Stegostoma tigrinum: one gene and its partner. The protein of the gene in region 1 purifies or fractionates together with the protein of each later gene. This does not show direct contact. Links are inferred from orthologs where the notes say so. Each region holds a gene or a part of one and is shown on either strand. Other genes may lie near its edges.

What was found.
Region 2: the proteins of wdr82 (region 1) and setd1ba purify together in Homo sapiens (affinity purification with western blotting; 4 studies listed by BioGRID, with this or other methods). This does not show direct contact. The link is inferred for Stegostoma tigrinum from reciprocal best matches to the Homo sapiens genes WDR82 and SETD1B.

What each region holds. Positions count from the first base shown.
Region 1 is NC_081364.1:12,377,327-12,384,741, forward strand, and holds the start of wdr82 (WD repeat-containing protein 82), read left to right. Parts: upstream 1-4,276; 5' UTR 4,277-4,519; coding exon 4,520-4,680; exon of another isoform or gene 4,681-5,092; intron 5,093-6,712; coding exon 6,713-6,810; intron 6,811-7,415. UniProt on the Homo sapiens protein: Regulatory component of the SET1/COMPASS complex implicated in the tethering of this complex to transcriptional start sites of active genes.
Region 2 is NC_081379.1:25,226,694-25,234,461, forward strand, and holds the start of setd1ba (histone-lysine N-methyltransferase SETD1B-A), read left to right. Parts: upstream 1-4,711; 5' UTR 4,712-4,789; coding exon 4,790-4,914; intron 4,915-5,249; coding exon 5,250-5,362; intron 5,363-5,571; coding exon 5,572-5,726; intron 5,727-5,948; coding exon 5,949-6,047; intron 6,048-6,248; coding exon 6,249-6,519; intron 6,520-6,981; coding exon 6,982-7,103; intron 7,104-7,768. UniProt on the Homo sapiens protein: Histone methyltransferase that catalyzes methyl group transfer from S-adenosyl-L-methionine to the epsilon-amino group of 'Lys-4' of histone H3 (H3K4) via a non-processive mechanism.

The DNA of each region.
Region 1 (7,415 bases):
CCACCCACCCACTATCTCTACTACTACTTCCCTCACAGCGGTTTACGAAGCAACATTATTTAGTTATTAAAAGTTGCAGAGAAGATGGATCATGGTTGGGGAGGAGAAGGGCGTGGGCGTGAGACCAAATGAATATGCGGTACCCAGTACAATGAAGCACGGGAACAGGACCTTCAGTCCACCAGGATACCATTCTAAATTAAACCTAAAATATTCTTAATTCTGTAGTAAATGAGGACTAATCATTTGTAAATCCTGTTCACGGATCAAGAGCCAAATGGCACAGAGTTAGCTCATGTTGACACTGCTACTTATCATTGCTTTAAGGGCAGATAAAAGGCACTAGTATAGTTTGGTGGTTTGTTGGTCAGCATTGATACGGTGGGCTGAAGGACCTGTTTTTATGCTGTACGATTCTATGAGAAACAGCACTCATACAAGTGTGTGGTTAAGGCAATGTTTCCAAAACTTTTCTTTCCCACTGTGACCCTTGAAATTGTCAAGAGCAGGAAAAAGGCCAGTGATATAGAGGTGGGGAGTTTGAAATTTGCAAAGTTTCATTCAACTTGTGAACCCCATTTGGTGTCCTGGACCCATGCCCTCACTTTGGTAAGCCCTTGGTTACAGACTGCCATCCAGAGTGCTGGAGACAGGTTCAATCAAGCCATCCACTTCGGGATCATGGTTACCTGAAATGGAAGGATGTCAGGGCTGTGCAGAGAAGGCCAGAGGGGAAGAGTGGAAATAGCACCAGGGGAATTTCTTCTTCAGAGAACTAGCACAGACATGATAGGCCAGTTGGCTTCCTCCTAAAATGTAGTTGTTATGTGAATTCATAAGGAGTTCAGAATGTTTTCTTTTATCCAGGCAGTGATATTGGATCACACCATCACAAGAAATAATTTGAAGTGAAAGTTAAGAGCAAGTTGTATTTACATGGAAGCTAAATACACAGGTGGGAGACAGAAATGGAAAGGCATGTTCATTGGGTTAAATGGATTCAATTGGGAGGAGATTTTCATGAAGTATTAATGCTGGCATGGACCAGTGGGCACGATGGCCTGTTTCTCCTCTTCATATTTGTCAATCAGCACAACACTAGGATATTCAATCCTTCTTGGTGTCCCAGTTGTCTAATAGGACATTTTTCTGTACTGTAAATTCTATGTAAAAGTAAATATCAAGCGGTTCAAGGAGATAAAATATGACAGAGTAGATAGAGAAAATTTATTCTCTGTTGCAAGCAAATCATTAAGAATAATTCATTGATTTTAAAAAGTTGACAAAGATATGGAGAGGTAATGAGAAAATGTTTTTCATGCAGAATGTTAGTAGAACCTGGAATCGTCTACTTGAAAAATTGGTGCTAGCAGATTCTAACAATAATGTTAAAAGAGATTTGGTCGAATACTTGAGAATGTCGAACTAGCAGGACAGATAGAAAAAAAGCAGGGGCAGGGATGGGAGGAAAAGTGAGGCATGATGGGCCGAATGGTCTTCTTCTGTGCTGTAAATTTTAAAGATTCTATTACATGCAATAAACTGGAAATAGTGGAAACACAGAACAAGGTAGGCAGCATACTATAGAGAAAGAAAGTTAAAGTCTGAAGTGAATTACATTGTGTTAGGATTTGGAAAATCGAGAGGTGGAGCAGGTTTTAAACAATCTCAAGGACAGGACAGTTTGCAGGAGATGCTGGAATACTGCTAACTACACCAGGCTAGCAATCCGTAGGCCCAGGTTAATGCTCTGGGAAACACAGGTTCAAATTATACCGTGCCAGCTGGTGGAATTTATATTCAGATTATTCAAAATAATTCTGTACTATATAAAGAATATGACAACTATTTCCAATTGTTGTAAAAGCCAATCTGGTTCAATAATGCCCTTCAGGGAGGGAATTTGCCATCCAGTGAGACAAAAGAGAGGCAGGAGACGTGATTAGTTTGGATTTCCAGAAGGTCTTCAACAAGGTGCTGCACTGAACACCGCTCAATTAGATAAGAATCGATGTATTAGGGTCAAGGTATGGACAGAAGATCGGCTGGCTGGCTGAAGGTAGAGAATGGAGAAAAAAAGGTGTCTTCTCCAGGATGGCGGTCAAAGACTAGTGGAATACTGCAAGCATCAGTGTTGGGATCACACTATTCATATTATACATTACTGATATGCATTAAGGAACTGAGGGCATTGTTGCTAAGTCTGTAGATAACACAAAGACAGGGACAGGTAGTGTTACAGAAGCAGGGAGGCTGCAGAAAGACTTAGGCTAGCAGAGTGGACAAAGAAGTGGCAGATGGAATGCAATGTGGGAAAGTGTTAGGTTATATATTTTGGTAGGACCAATAGAGGCACAGACCATTTTCTAAATGGGGAAATTTGAAGCAGTAAGGGACTTAGGAGTCCGTATTCAGAATTCTCTTAAGGTTAACATACAAGTTCATTTTGGTAGTTAGAAAGGCAAATGCAATGGCAGCATTCAGTTCGAGAGGACTAGAATACAAATGCAGAGATGTACTGCTGAGGCGAAATAAGGCTCTGACCAGACCACATTTGGAAGCAGTTTTGAGTCCCAAATCTAAGGATGTGCTAATCTTGGATGAAGTCTAGGGGATATTTACTAGAATGATTCCAGGAATGAACAGCTTGTCATTTGATGAGAGTTTGAGAACTCTGGGTCTGTACTCAATGGAATTTAGAGGAATGAGATTTGAATCTGATTGAAGCTTGCAGAACACTGAGGGGGCTGGATGGTGTGGATGTGGAGAAGATATTTCCAATGGCAGTAGAGTCGAGGACCCAATGACACAGCCTCAGAGTGAAGGGGTGATTCTTTAGAGCTGAATTGTGGAGGAATTTCTTCAGCCAGAGGGTGGAGAATCTACGGAACTCGTTGACACAGGAGGCTGTGGAGGCCAAGTTATTGAGACAGAGATTTGAGACAAGTAGACATTGGTTCTTGATTTGTAAGTAGATCAAAGGTTAAAGGGAAATGGCAGAAGAATGGGTTTGAGAAACATACCAGCCATGAATGAATGGTGGAGCCGACACAATGGGCTGAATAACCCAATTCTGTTCCTGTATCTCACTAAATCATGGTCTTATCTGGTCAGGTCTAATTGTGATTCTAGACAAACTGCAATGTGGTTCAATCTTACCTGTCCTCTGAAATTATCAATGAAACCATTCCATTCAACGGTAATTAGAGATGGCAACAAATGCTTACCAGAGATATCCACTTAGTAAGAACAAATAAAGAAAAATTATAAGGTGAGCAAAGAACAAAATTCATATTTGATATGGTAGCAAGGAGAGTTTAAATAACAAAAGAGATTGTGACGCAGGTAAAAGGGGTGACAATGGCTTTGACCTGATAAAAGATGCAAAATGTGTAACTAGAAAAGCTCTAAATGGAAAAATACAGAATCATCGCTTATGGATGTCATTTAAAATAATGCGGTTAAGTTTATAATCTGAAATTGATGAACTCAGTGCTAAATCCTGAAGGCTGTAATGTAACTTGATGAAAGATGAGCTGTTCCTCAACGTCACGTTTGAACTTCATAGAAAAGTCATGAGATCTCCAAACAAGATAATGTTAGAAATGGGCCAATGTAGGAAACTGAGGTCAGTGTTCAAGTGGAGAATCAAAACAAATAAGTCACATTGCAGGTGAGAGCATGCATATTGCTTGAAAGAGACACATGTAGCTGAAGCTTTTTATCATGTGCACTCATCAAGACAAATGCAAAAATGCCACACGTCAAATGATGTTCATACGATAGGGGAAGGATTGGTTGGCAAGCTGATTTCAGTTGGTCAAATGGTGACATGAGGGGGATGCAAATGATGAACAAAAGCTCTAATGAAAGGAATCCTAAAATAAAGCGTTAAAATAACAAAAGGGAGGAAAGTGTGCAAAATGGAAAAAGAGAATCATCACAGACTGGCCATCCAGTGGAACCGCCCTTTAGCAAAACAGCGACCGACTCAACTCCAGCACCTTGAACGCACATGCGCTGCAAGAGTAGAGCCGTATCTCCCTGACAACCAGGACTGGGCTTTATGGGTAATATCATGCCGCAGACCAAAATGTTGGCTGACGTCATGGTCATTTGCCAGTGGGTGGGTTTTGAAGAAGATGGCAACGGTCATGAGACACCGCCTCCGCCGCCGGGTTGTCATGGAGACGACGGGGGCGTTGACACATCATCTCCATAACGACCGAGGGCGGGGGATTAGGTATTATGGGTAGCGGCGCGTTCGCGCCAACCGCGGCTTGGTATCCACAATGCCCCGCGGTTAGGGTGAAGGGCTGTCGCTTTTGAGTCTGGGTCGTGCGCCGCCATTTTAGTCGTGTTTAAATATCGGAGAAAGAAAAAAATACACAAAACTCTCTCCCCTCAGATGCTCAAAAGAAAAAATTAAAGGCGCATCTCGCAGCTTTTTTTTAAAGAAACCGTCCTATTCCTCCCATCTGTAAGCCCCTCCCTGCACCACCGAGCAAAGAAGAACGAGATGAAGCTGACGGATAATGTGCTGCGCAGCTTCCGAGTGGCTAAGGTATTCCGAGAGAACACAGACAAGATCAACTGCTTCGATTTCTCACCCAACGGAGAGACGCTCATCTCCAGCAGCGATGACGACTCCATCGTTCTTTACGACTGCCAGGAGGGCAAGTGAGTACTTTCACCGCCCCCCCCCCCCCCGCTCTCATTTCAGATCAAAAAGACCCTCCCCTCTCTGGGAGGCCTAGAAATCCCGGCCTTGATTTTCACAAAAGACCCTGAGCTCGGGTTGCGTTGCGCGGTCAGGAGAGAGAGAGTTGGGGGCTGATTGCAGAGCCAGCCTGCGGCGAGGAGAAGCTGGAAAGTAATCAGTTGCCTTGGATTATTAACTGGATTTAGGAAGAGGGCAGTCTCACGTTGGAGGCGGGAAATAGTGATCTGCAACACGATGTTCTGGGTTCAGACCGTCGTCTGTGGTGATCACTAATAATGTCTCTTCGATATGCTTCGTAGCGAAGAGTGCATCTGTAGGATTTCTTTCCCAAATGTTGCAGATAACAGCCATTCAAGGTGGAAATCGTAGCCAAACAAATCACGATGTTAGTAGCCTACCTCGATGCAGAGCACATGCGCTCAACATGCTACAGTTGAGGCAGACACCTTGCATCTGTTTACCGTGTAATTCAGTAAAGTTAACCAGACTTTTATAAATCCATGTAATAAATCCGTAAAGCTGGCACTTAGTGTGACCCAAAATCTGTGCACAGTTTAGGTCTTGTGGTGGAATGTGTAGCGCTCATGTCTCTGAGTTAGAGCTCTGGATTCGATTTCTATCCGCGAACTTTTGATATGTCTGGATTAAGTCCTGTCTGTCCTGGAGATGTGCCATTGTGTGTCAGAACAAGTTGTTTAGCAAACTGCAAGAGAATATGGGCTAGTATAGTGTGGTGTGGTGTAGTGCCACTGTGTCTGGGCCCAAACGTCTAGATTCAAATCCTACAAAAGTGTTACATAATTTTATTCATCCTGTTTAGATATATTATTTTAGAATTGTAACTTGATGGAGAACAAAGACGCATCAATAATGAATTTCAGAATTTAGGCCCTAAATAGCTGAAAGCATAGCCATTCAAGTTTTGAAGAAAATATACATAGTAGATCTGAGAAATGGAAGGGACAAGATTGTAGAATGGTTACCACATAAAGGGGAACTATTTATTTATATTTTAGTGCCCTAGATGCTGTTTTTCATGAGAGATGTAGTTTAAGTCTTTTTGAAGAAAATTGACTTGTATTTGTTTTTGCCTTGTATTCTTTGCATTGTGTTTTTCCTGTGACAGAGTTTTGTGGTCACTAGACTTCAGTATGTAAATCTCAACAGTAAGTGTTGGCAGGTTAATCCATTATTACAGGTGGCCTCAGTTGAGTATGTTATTGTTGTTCTTTATTGTCCCTCCATGCTGATTTCCAGCCTGTCGCAGCTAATTCTGTAAAATTGATGTGTAGCCTTATATTAATTTGAGTAATTCAGTTTATAAAATAAGTGTCATTCTGATAGAGAGCTCTGAATGTTATCAGGATATCTGAGTTACATTTTAAAGTAGTAAATTGTTTGATCGTCTCCGACTAAGGTAGAGGATGTCATAACTGCTTCAGTACCTGTTGAGCTGTGTGGTTGGCACTGAGTATGATGTAAGAGGTTTGCAATTTCCTTGTTTTCTCTTCACAGTAATGATGCATGTGGTTTGTGATTTTTGTTGGTGTCGCTGTTACTGAAAATCAGGTCAGCTAATGAGTCAGTAAGTCATAAGGTGTCCTTTAGTTGACCTAGTTTATTTCCTTTTTATGGATGGTCTTGTAACCAAGCCGTAGTGTTTCTGATTCTGGGTCAGAGGTATGTCAAAAACATGCCTGAGCAGGTCCATTTTCTTGTGGTCAAGAAAATACTTGACTGTTTTAACAAAGGACAGCATTATATGTCAGTTAGTTAATCAGTTACATACAGAAGCATGCATCGATGATTTTGTTGCCTTTTCTGATATTTGGGCATGACTACATAAGGGAGGCCTTGAAACTAGACAACAGTAAAATTTGGAAAGAACAGTTATGTGAACTTCTCTGCAACAGTGTGTTGAGGTTAAATTAGACATCTTTTCTGATAAAACTTAACATCACTTAATGTAATTTCTTTCTTACCTGTCAGACCAAAGAGGACACTGTACAGTAAGAAGTATGGGGTAGACCTGATCAGATACACACATGCAGCGAATACAGTGGTTTACAGCTCTAACAAAATCGATGGTAAGTTAGCTTGTGTTGTACAGATCTCCAGCTGTTTAGTTTCTCTTGCTGTGAACTTCTCCAAATCTGGGACATCCTTTGCATCTCTGCAGAATCAGGTTGTGGTGTAAAGTTTGTATTTATCTGTTACCAGTACATTAACAGTTTTTATAGAATTAATGTTTTGCCAGTTTAACACAACAATAGTTTGTAACTTTTTATTTTGTTTGTTTGGAAGTCTCGCCACCTCTTAAAACATATTTGATCCTTTGTTCTCAGTTTGCCATTGTTTTGGCTGCCTTTATAATTTTTCTAAAACTTTAGACCTGCCTGTCAAATTGCTGGGGGACCAATGTGTATTTGCATTTGCAGTTTGGTTTTGAAAGCAAGTCAGTCTTTTTATTATTTCCAAATCAAAATAACTGTGAATTTGATTTTAATATTTCAATTGATCTGGAAGTTGAAATTTGTAGATTAGAAGATGTGTCGAATTAATTAACTTTTGAGGGGGAATAAACCAGCAAGAAATAGAGAGGAAGAATGTAATTTTTGGGGCAGTTGTTTTCTATGCAAAGTGTTGATACTATTTGAAAGGAAAGTAACCAATACCTTACTACCTCATTGAA
Region 2 (7,768 bases), on another chromosome or scaffold:
TGTAGCCAAAGATTCCAGGACAATGGTGTGAAATGTGGTGCAATACATTCCAAGGTTTCCAGAAGCCATGCAACACACATAAGTAGCAGTACCCTTCATTCTTTGGCCAATGGAGCAATTTAAACATTGTTGATTATAGTATGTCATAAGCATGTTCAATTTACAATGACTTTTGTATGAAAATAATTGAATAAACAGATTTCAATTTGGATAACAGTGGCCTTGGCCTTCTGAGATGGTGATGAAGTAGGCTAAAAAGACCAATACAGCAGCAGAAGGAACAACAATGGTTCACTTGAATGCATTCCCCAAACAGTGTTATGCCTACAGGTCAGCAATAAAAACTGGCTGAAGCCAATTTTCATTCCTAATAAGTTTGAACCCAATCACCCTATTTATGCTAAAATCCTTTAGGGGCTTGAGCTGTTAACAAGTTATAACTTGTTTTAAAAAAAACAGTAGTAATATGAATATAAAAATTGGCTGACAGACAAGATACAAAAATAGTAATTATTAAATGTTTTCTGATTTGGAGAAAGCTTTGAGCATTGCACAGGGATTGTTGCTAGGATCCATCCTCTTCTAGAAATATATTAAGTGAGGTAAACTTTTTGGGGAGGATTAGCAAATGGATGTGAAACTGCAAGTATTGTGAATGGCAGAGTATAATGTAGGCCTTCAAAAAGGACACAGACAGGCAGGTGGAATGGATGGAGAAATGGCAAATTAAATTCAATGTGGAGGAGTACAAAGCCATTCATTTTGGTAGGAAGAGCATACTGAAACAGTATAAATTAGAGGGTATTTGTAGACATGGTTGTATATGTGCACCAGTCATTGCAGGTGCTGGGGCAGGTTGAGAGCAGTTAAAGTGTAACTAGCCTAGGCTTTATTTATTAAGGTGCAGTACAAAAATGTTGAACTTGTATAATACCTTCACTGGTTGACGCCAAACTAGTGTATGTTCCGAGTGCTGTAATTTAGGAAACCCCTGAAGGCACTGGAAAAAATACAGAAAGGATTCTCTCACAAGAAAAGTTCTTCATCCTTGGAACCGCAAGATAAATAGATCTATTTTCCTTGGAGAAGGCCAACAGAAGATTTAATAGTATTCAAAATTCTAAGGGTCCAGGTGCAGAATGGGTAGGAGAATACTTCCCACGGGTGGAAGAATTGGGAACCAAGAGGGTACAGATTGAAGGTAAAAGGCAAAAGAAACAATAATGACATGAGGAAATACACCCTGATTCTGTGACGGACGTAGGTTCAACTGAGGCAAAGGAAACTGTTATCTGAGAAAGGAAGAATGTACAGTTTATGGGAGAAAATAGGGGAACGGGCGCTGGGCGAATTGCTTTCACAGGAAAATCAGTGCAAACTATAAATGGGTCGAATGGCCTCTTGCGCAATCGTAATTCTGCGATTCTATAAGCGCGGATAGTGGTACACTCAAGTCTACAAACTTCCTCTTCACTCTTTCAGACTCTCTTCCACACGCATGCAAATTTCAGTTTCTCACATTATAGCTGACTGTCCTTTTTTTGTTGTTCAGCACTTGTTTCTCACTCATCCGCACCCTCGCTTTTACTGCTGTTGATTTCAGTTTCGAAGCCAAGGCCCTTCCAGTAAATAACCACATCATGAGTTGTGTAAGGAGCTTAAAAATATTTCTAGACCCCCGCCACCTCCAAGGATGTAGGGAGCAGGAAACTGACATTGGTAAAACAATCCCAAACAATATTTGACAAGAGCCAATGTCAACGATTTCGCCAAAGCAAGGACCTTTATAAAGGAAACAATCAGGCTCAAATGATCTGTCAATGGTGTGTAATGGCAGTATACATGTCCATAACAGTTTAAGAGCTACCAGAGGTCTCCGGACAGTTTCTTGGCACGAGTCCATTGCATGGGGCTGGGAGGGAATGAAATGTTGCAAACCAATGTTTTGACAGGGCTTCAAACAGGAAGTGTGTAATACACTGGGGACTATTCTCGTTAGAGTCGCTGAGTGCCAGGGCCCTAGGAAATACATTCATCTATCCTAATTGTTGAATTCACATTCCCACGTTGGTAACCACGATTTCACGACAGCCTTGGCAATCTCAAATCCTCCAGGGATTGACTGAGACAAGAGGGCCACTTGACAATTACACAATGCGCATCACGATGTACTTTAGCTTCTGGGGGCACTGGGTCACACAATGTTGGCTCAGTAATGAACTTTGGATGGTGTTGCTGGAGGCGGAGCAGAGAAATTACCGCCCGATTCACGCTGTAGTAATTACAGCACACTCAGGGGTCCCTGGTCAGATTGAAATAAAGCCATTGTTTCATCAGTGCCTTTGCTATACTGAAACTCAGCAAATCCAGCTCACCTCGTGATTCAACAGTTCGAACTAAAAGATTTAGCTTACCCAAAATTACAGCTTTGTCAAAAATAAAATTTATACAATACTATTGAAGTATTTGGGGGGCGAATATTTATGAGATTTCCTTTTCACAAATGGGGGACCTATTTCTGACCCTTTCTGAATCAGAAACGTTTCACTATTTGCACAATGACCGCGGCCTACTCTGCCCAGGCACACCATTACTCAGCAGCTTGTTTACTCTTCATGTTCATTTTAACTTCTCAGCGACACCAGGCACCAGCTCCATTTTGTTTGAGCCGATTTTTTTTGTCACGTACAGTACAGAGCTCTCTACCGAACAAAAACACTACGCCTCAGGGCTATTTGTAATCCGAAACTATTTCGGGAAGCTTCAACCACCCACAGCTCAAACAACTTAGGCACTAAATATTCACAAATAGAAAGGAATACCAGTCGTCATTTTGTTGCATCAGCCGGCCATGACTTGTACGTTCCATCGAAAAGCAACAACAAAAAAAGCAAACATTTCCATTCGAAAGAACATCTTAATTTCTCTGTTTAAAGCTCGTTTCCCGGTAAAATAAATCAGTTTCTTAAGATCTTAATCTTTAAGAAAGAGCACATAAAGGCAACAGAATCATAATGACTTCAATTTTATGTAGACTAGGTTAAATGCTCCATGTAATCTTAGCACTCTAAATGTCAATTAAGTGACCCTACTTTTAAGATTAATATGAAATATAAGACAAGGAACAATGCAAATTAAAAGATATTATTTGCAAGCGATGCAAAAATACAAATAATATTTAAAGCATCAAATTTGTTTTAAACTAATGAGAATTTTCAAAATTGGCAATGGAAAATGTTTCAAACATGGTACATCATCGGATTCGGTTTGTAATAAAAGTGGTACAGACCTTCGTTTTAATCCAGATTTAAAATGTCACACGACAGTTGTCGGCCACACACCACCTGCCAGTAATACATTTTGAGACGAAACTGAGAGATGTGTTTTCTAAAAATACATCTGCATACTGAAGTAGCTTAATGTGCTATATAAAATGTGTTTAAAATGTCAATGTCAATCCAGTGTAAAGAATCAATTTTAATTTGGGGAAGAAGAAAAAGCAAGGCAAAGGTTCCATTTTGAAATGTTTGGCGGCTTCCCATTAGAGATCCCATCAGTTAAATATCTCTGATGCGAGCAAATATTAAAAGGATTTTCATGATGGGTTTAAGCTTATGAAATTACTTGTTTTTAAAATAAAAACGAAGTCAAAACTGAAAAGTTAGTGAGTTGACATTCCATTTAATAGCATTTAATAGATTTGACAATTGTTCGCGGTTTCAGAATTACGTACTGAAACGGCTAAAAGGGTTCGAATACATAAATTACAAGCAATTCTGGCAGGAATCTTTCAGTTAAGGACAACGCCTAACTGCAGTGGAAACATTAAGAATCGCTCTACCGAGTTTGTAAAAATTGTCGTTGAGTTAGACAGATCATTGTTATTGAAAAAAAGTAAAAAAACTCATTTGCTTGAGATTCTGATGTTGTTTCTTCTGAATGCAAAACGAATTTAAAAATTAAGATTACCACAAATCTTCAAAGTGTTAAAAGCGCTACTGTCAAACAATCCATATGCTACCATTAAATCGGTTTTCATAAGTTATATAAAAGCATAGAAAAAAATCAATTGTGCTCCGTTCACTTTACAAAGATTTCATGTCAATGTAACTGCAGACAACGTTGGTGTGCCATGACCTAGTTTCAACCCCAAGATGCATTCCAAAGTAAAAAAATCTTCAGGCTTTAGCAGTTCGAAATCTTGCATCCAAATTCATCATCATCATCATCATCAGCTCTTCAAATGTGGCCAGAGATTACAGAACCTAAATTAGATCCATTTTTAATTAAAAGGAGAAAACCCACAGTGCTTTGAAACTGTGAAGAGAGATCTTTCCATTTGTGATAAAGGAGAGCGCCAGTCCTTGCCCTTGTTGTTGCTGAGCGGGGTAACACACACTCTCACAAAGACACACACAGTACCCAGTCTGAGCCTCTCCTCTTGCTCAAGGAGCTTTCACTTCAAGCTTCCAAAAAAACCCCCACAAGGCTCAAGCAAGCCCCGCTCTGATTGGCCCCCGTTAGCAGCCACCTTTTAAACAGGCGAAATCGGCCAACCATTCAAAACCACTCGGAACTTAACGATCGTGCGAGACACCGCGGGGGGGGGAGGAAAGGAGAGAAAAAAATAAAAAAAAATACCGCTTGGGCAGGGGGTGGTGTGTGTGTGTGGGAGGGGGAGGGTAGTTGCAAAAAAAATCCAAAAGAAAACTAAAGAAGCAGAGGCGGCAGAGGGCCCCGTGGGGGATGGGAGGGGGAGGAGCAATGGCGAAATGGAAGTTAATGCTCAATGGGAGTCCTCAAACTTGAACCACCTCGACCCATCTTGTTTGGCGACCCAGTTCGACGCTGCGTAAACCTAACATGGATTCCCGGCCCTGATTCAAAATTACCGTCCGTCAAGCCGAGGCCCAGGTCGGCGGAGAGAGAGAGAAAAAAATAAAAATAAATGAGTTCCCTTTCCCCTTCTCCCGACAGGCGGGTGCCCGGGCTGCGTCTGGGACCGGGGCGAGGCCGGGGATCCAGGGCCTGCTCCCGGGTCTGATGGGGGAGGGAGGTAGACGCACGGAAACGTTGAATGTGCGGAGGGAATGGAAGACTAGCTGGTGGCCCCCCAGACTGGGCGGGTGGATTGTGGGATACGTACATACACTGAGCAGAAGCACACAATATGTGTTGGCTCGCGAAAAAAAAGGAGGCTGGAGCCGTACAATGTAACCTAATCAGCGAAATGTAATTGTTTTCCCCAGATCACGCCGTTCGCTCCGAAACCGACAGAAATCGACGACAATGTCTTTCAAGGAGCTGAAACCCGGGGAGAAGCCGAGGCACCACGAAGATCATGGCAAGAAGCAGAGTTCAAGTGAGTGTTTTTTCTCTCTCTCTCTTTCAACCCCCCCTTCTCTCTTTTTCTCTAATGGTCCAGCGAGCTTAGATTCCCCATTTCATGAGCAATGTATTTGTGGAAGGGAAAAAAGGATTTTTAAAAAAATGTTGAGAACTGAGGCATTTGTCAGCCTAGCTTAAAATCATTTTGTGTTCCTCCCCCCTTACCCTCCCCAACATTTGCAGGTTTGATCAATGGGATGGAGCACAGCCACGCAGGAGGGAGTTCAGCAGAGAGAAAAAGTCACCATTGGCGAAGTTATAAGTTGATTATTGACCCAGCGTTGAAGAAGGGACAGCACAAACTCTACCGCTATGATGGCCAACATTTAAGTCTCCCTGTGAGTGATATTGTGGAAGTGCAGCCATTAATTCCACGTCTGTCGTGTTTGTCACAGGATGCTGCCATTGTTACAATGTTGTAAGCGAAGAAAGTTACATTGCGGTTCCTCCTGTCAGGAGCTCTTAAGCTGACAGTCCGGTTACTCGTTAACATGTTCTCCAGTTTGCTGCATGTTCCCTAAACCTTCAAAACTAAATCATGTCAATCGTTCTTATTGCAGAATTCTGGTGTTCCGCCGGTTGATACTGTCAGAGACCCCCGACTTGGACGCATGTGGACCAAAAGCAAAGAGCTGGATTTACCTGTTCCAAAATTTAAGGTAAAGGAGAAGGGGAACTGAAATAACTTTCTCAGTTTCATCTCATTAGTAGAATTTCCTTTCTGTAGCCTATCACTCTAGCACTTTACTCTTTGTAACTGCAAAACATAAGTAAATAAGCAATGAAATGTCCAAGACAACCTTTTTTTTGTTTAGCATTCGCTAGTTAAGTTTGTTTGAATGTGCTCCTGGTGCCAACAGATCGACGAGCATTACGTGGGACCCGTACCTCCAAAGCAGGTAACATTTGCCAAGCTGAACGACAACATACGAGAGGGGTTTCTTTTGGACATGTGCAAGAAGTATGGCGAGGTTGAAGAAGTGGAAATTCTTTACAACCCTAAGAACAAGAAGCACCTAGGAATCGCGAAGGTGGTGTTCGCCACAGTGAAGGGAGCCAAGGATACTGTGCAGCACCTTCACAACACTTCCGTTATGGGAAACATCATCCACGTCCAACTCGATACCAAAGGTGCAATAAAGTTACTTTTTAATCAATTCGGTTCTCTTCGACTTTGCATGCCTATCGGATTTAAAGTCGTGCTTGGTTCACCATCCGAGATTAATGCAAATATGTAATATTGACTCATTTTAACGCCGATTCTGAGTCACGTGTGCACACAAATGTAGCTTGTTTAATGTTGCTAGGAAACAGAGGGATTGCTGTCGTTTGTAAAATCTTCCCAACCAGTATACTCTGAGAGTCCTGGTGTAATGTATTAATGGGCCTTGAGAATCGCGGGGCTATCATGATGTTGACGCCGGTGTTGAAAAATCCCACAGTCACGTGTAGTTCTGATCAATATGTTAATTCCATGTTGTGGCGGGAGGGAGTGCTGTTTATATCCAATCGGTGGGATATATTTACAACGACCTGTGTCGTTTTAAACACTGATTCAGACTCCGCAGTCATTATAATCCTGCCGTTCCGTAGGTGAACATCGGATGAGATACTACGAGCTACTGGTCAGTGGTTACTTTACCCCCCAGACTCTTCCTGTCGGTACCGATGCTTATTTGGACGCCTCGCCTATAATAAATAGTGAATTTGGACAGGTATGGACAGTTTCATTTACACACTAAATATGCTGTGGCCCTCGATTGGTTTATGGTGCAATGAGGAAATGTTTCATTGACTCCCCCCCCCCCCCCGCATTTGTTTGCCGGTGAACTGCTCGTTATTAGAAGACGAACTAGCTCCGCTGATAGTCATGTGGGATTGGTATGAATGAATTTCTGCACACGCCAGGTTCGCTGGTGTTTTTAAAAGGCTGCCTAGTAAAAGTTGCGCGACTGTCGAGCTCTTTAATAAGTGACAGCAGATTTACTAACAGCAAGCGACGTAGATGTTACAGGCGGATGACTTGCGGCTGGTATCATGAATTTAATAACAAATATTTCAGATTGGGAAGTTTGGGCTGAAGCAGGTGAACAGTAATGCGATGCAAATTATTTCAATATTAATCTTTCTTGAGGTGGAAACTTTCTATACTCTTGGTTTCAAATAATATCGCCGTAAAAAAACATTAAGCAACATCCTCTTGCAGCTTTTTTGGACTAAGGTGTTTCTGTTTCTTATTCCTGTAACAATTGGCTTTTTTCTAAGATGTTCGAAATCATCCATGTTTTGGCAAACATTTTTTATGAACCCTGGTGCCTGGTAAATTAAATCTCTAGTCTATGGTTATTAAGTTAATTTGATGTAGCCATGAATACATATT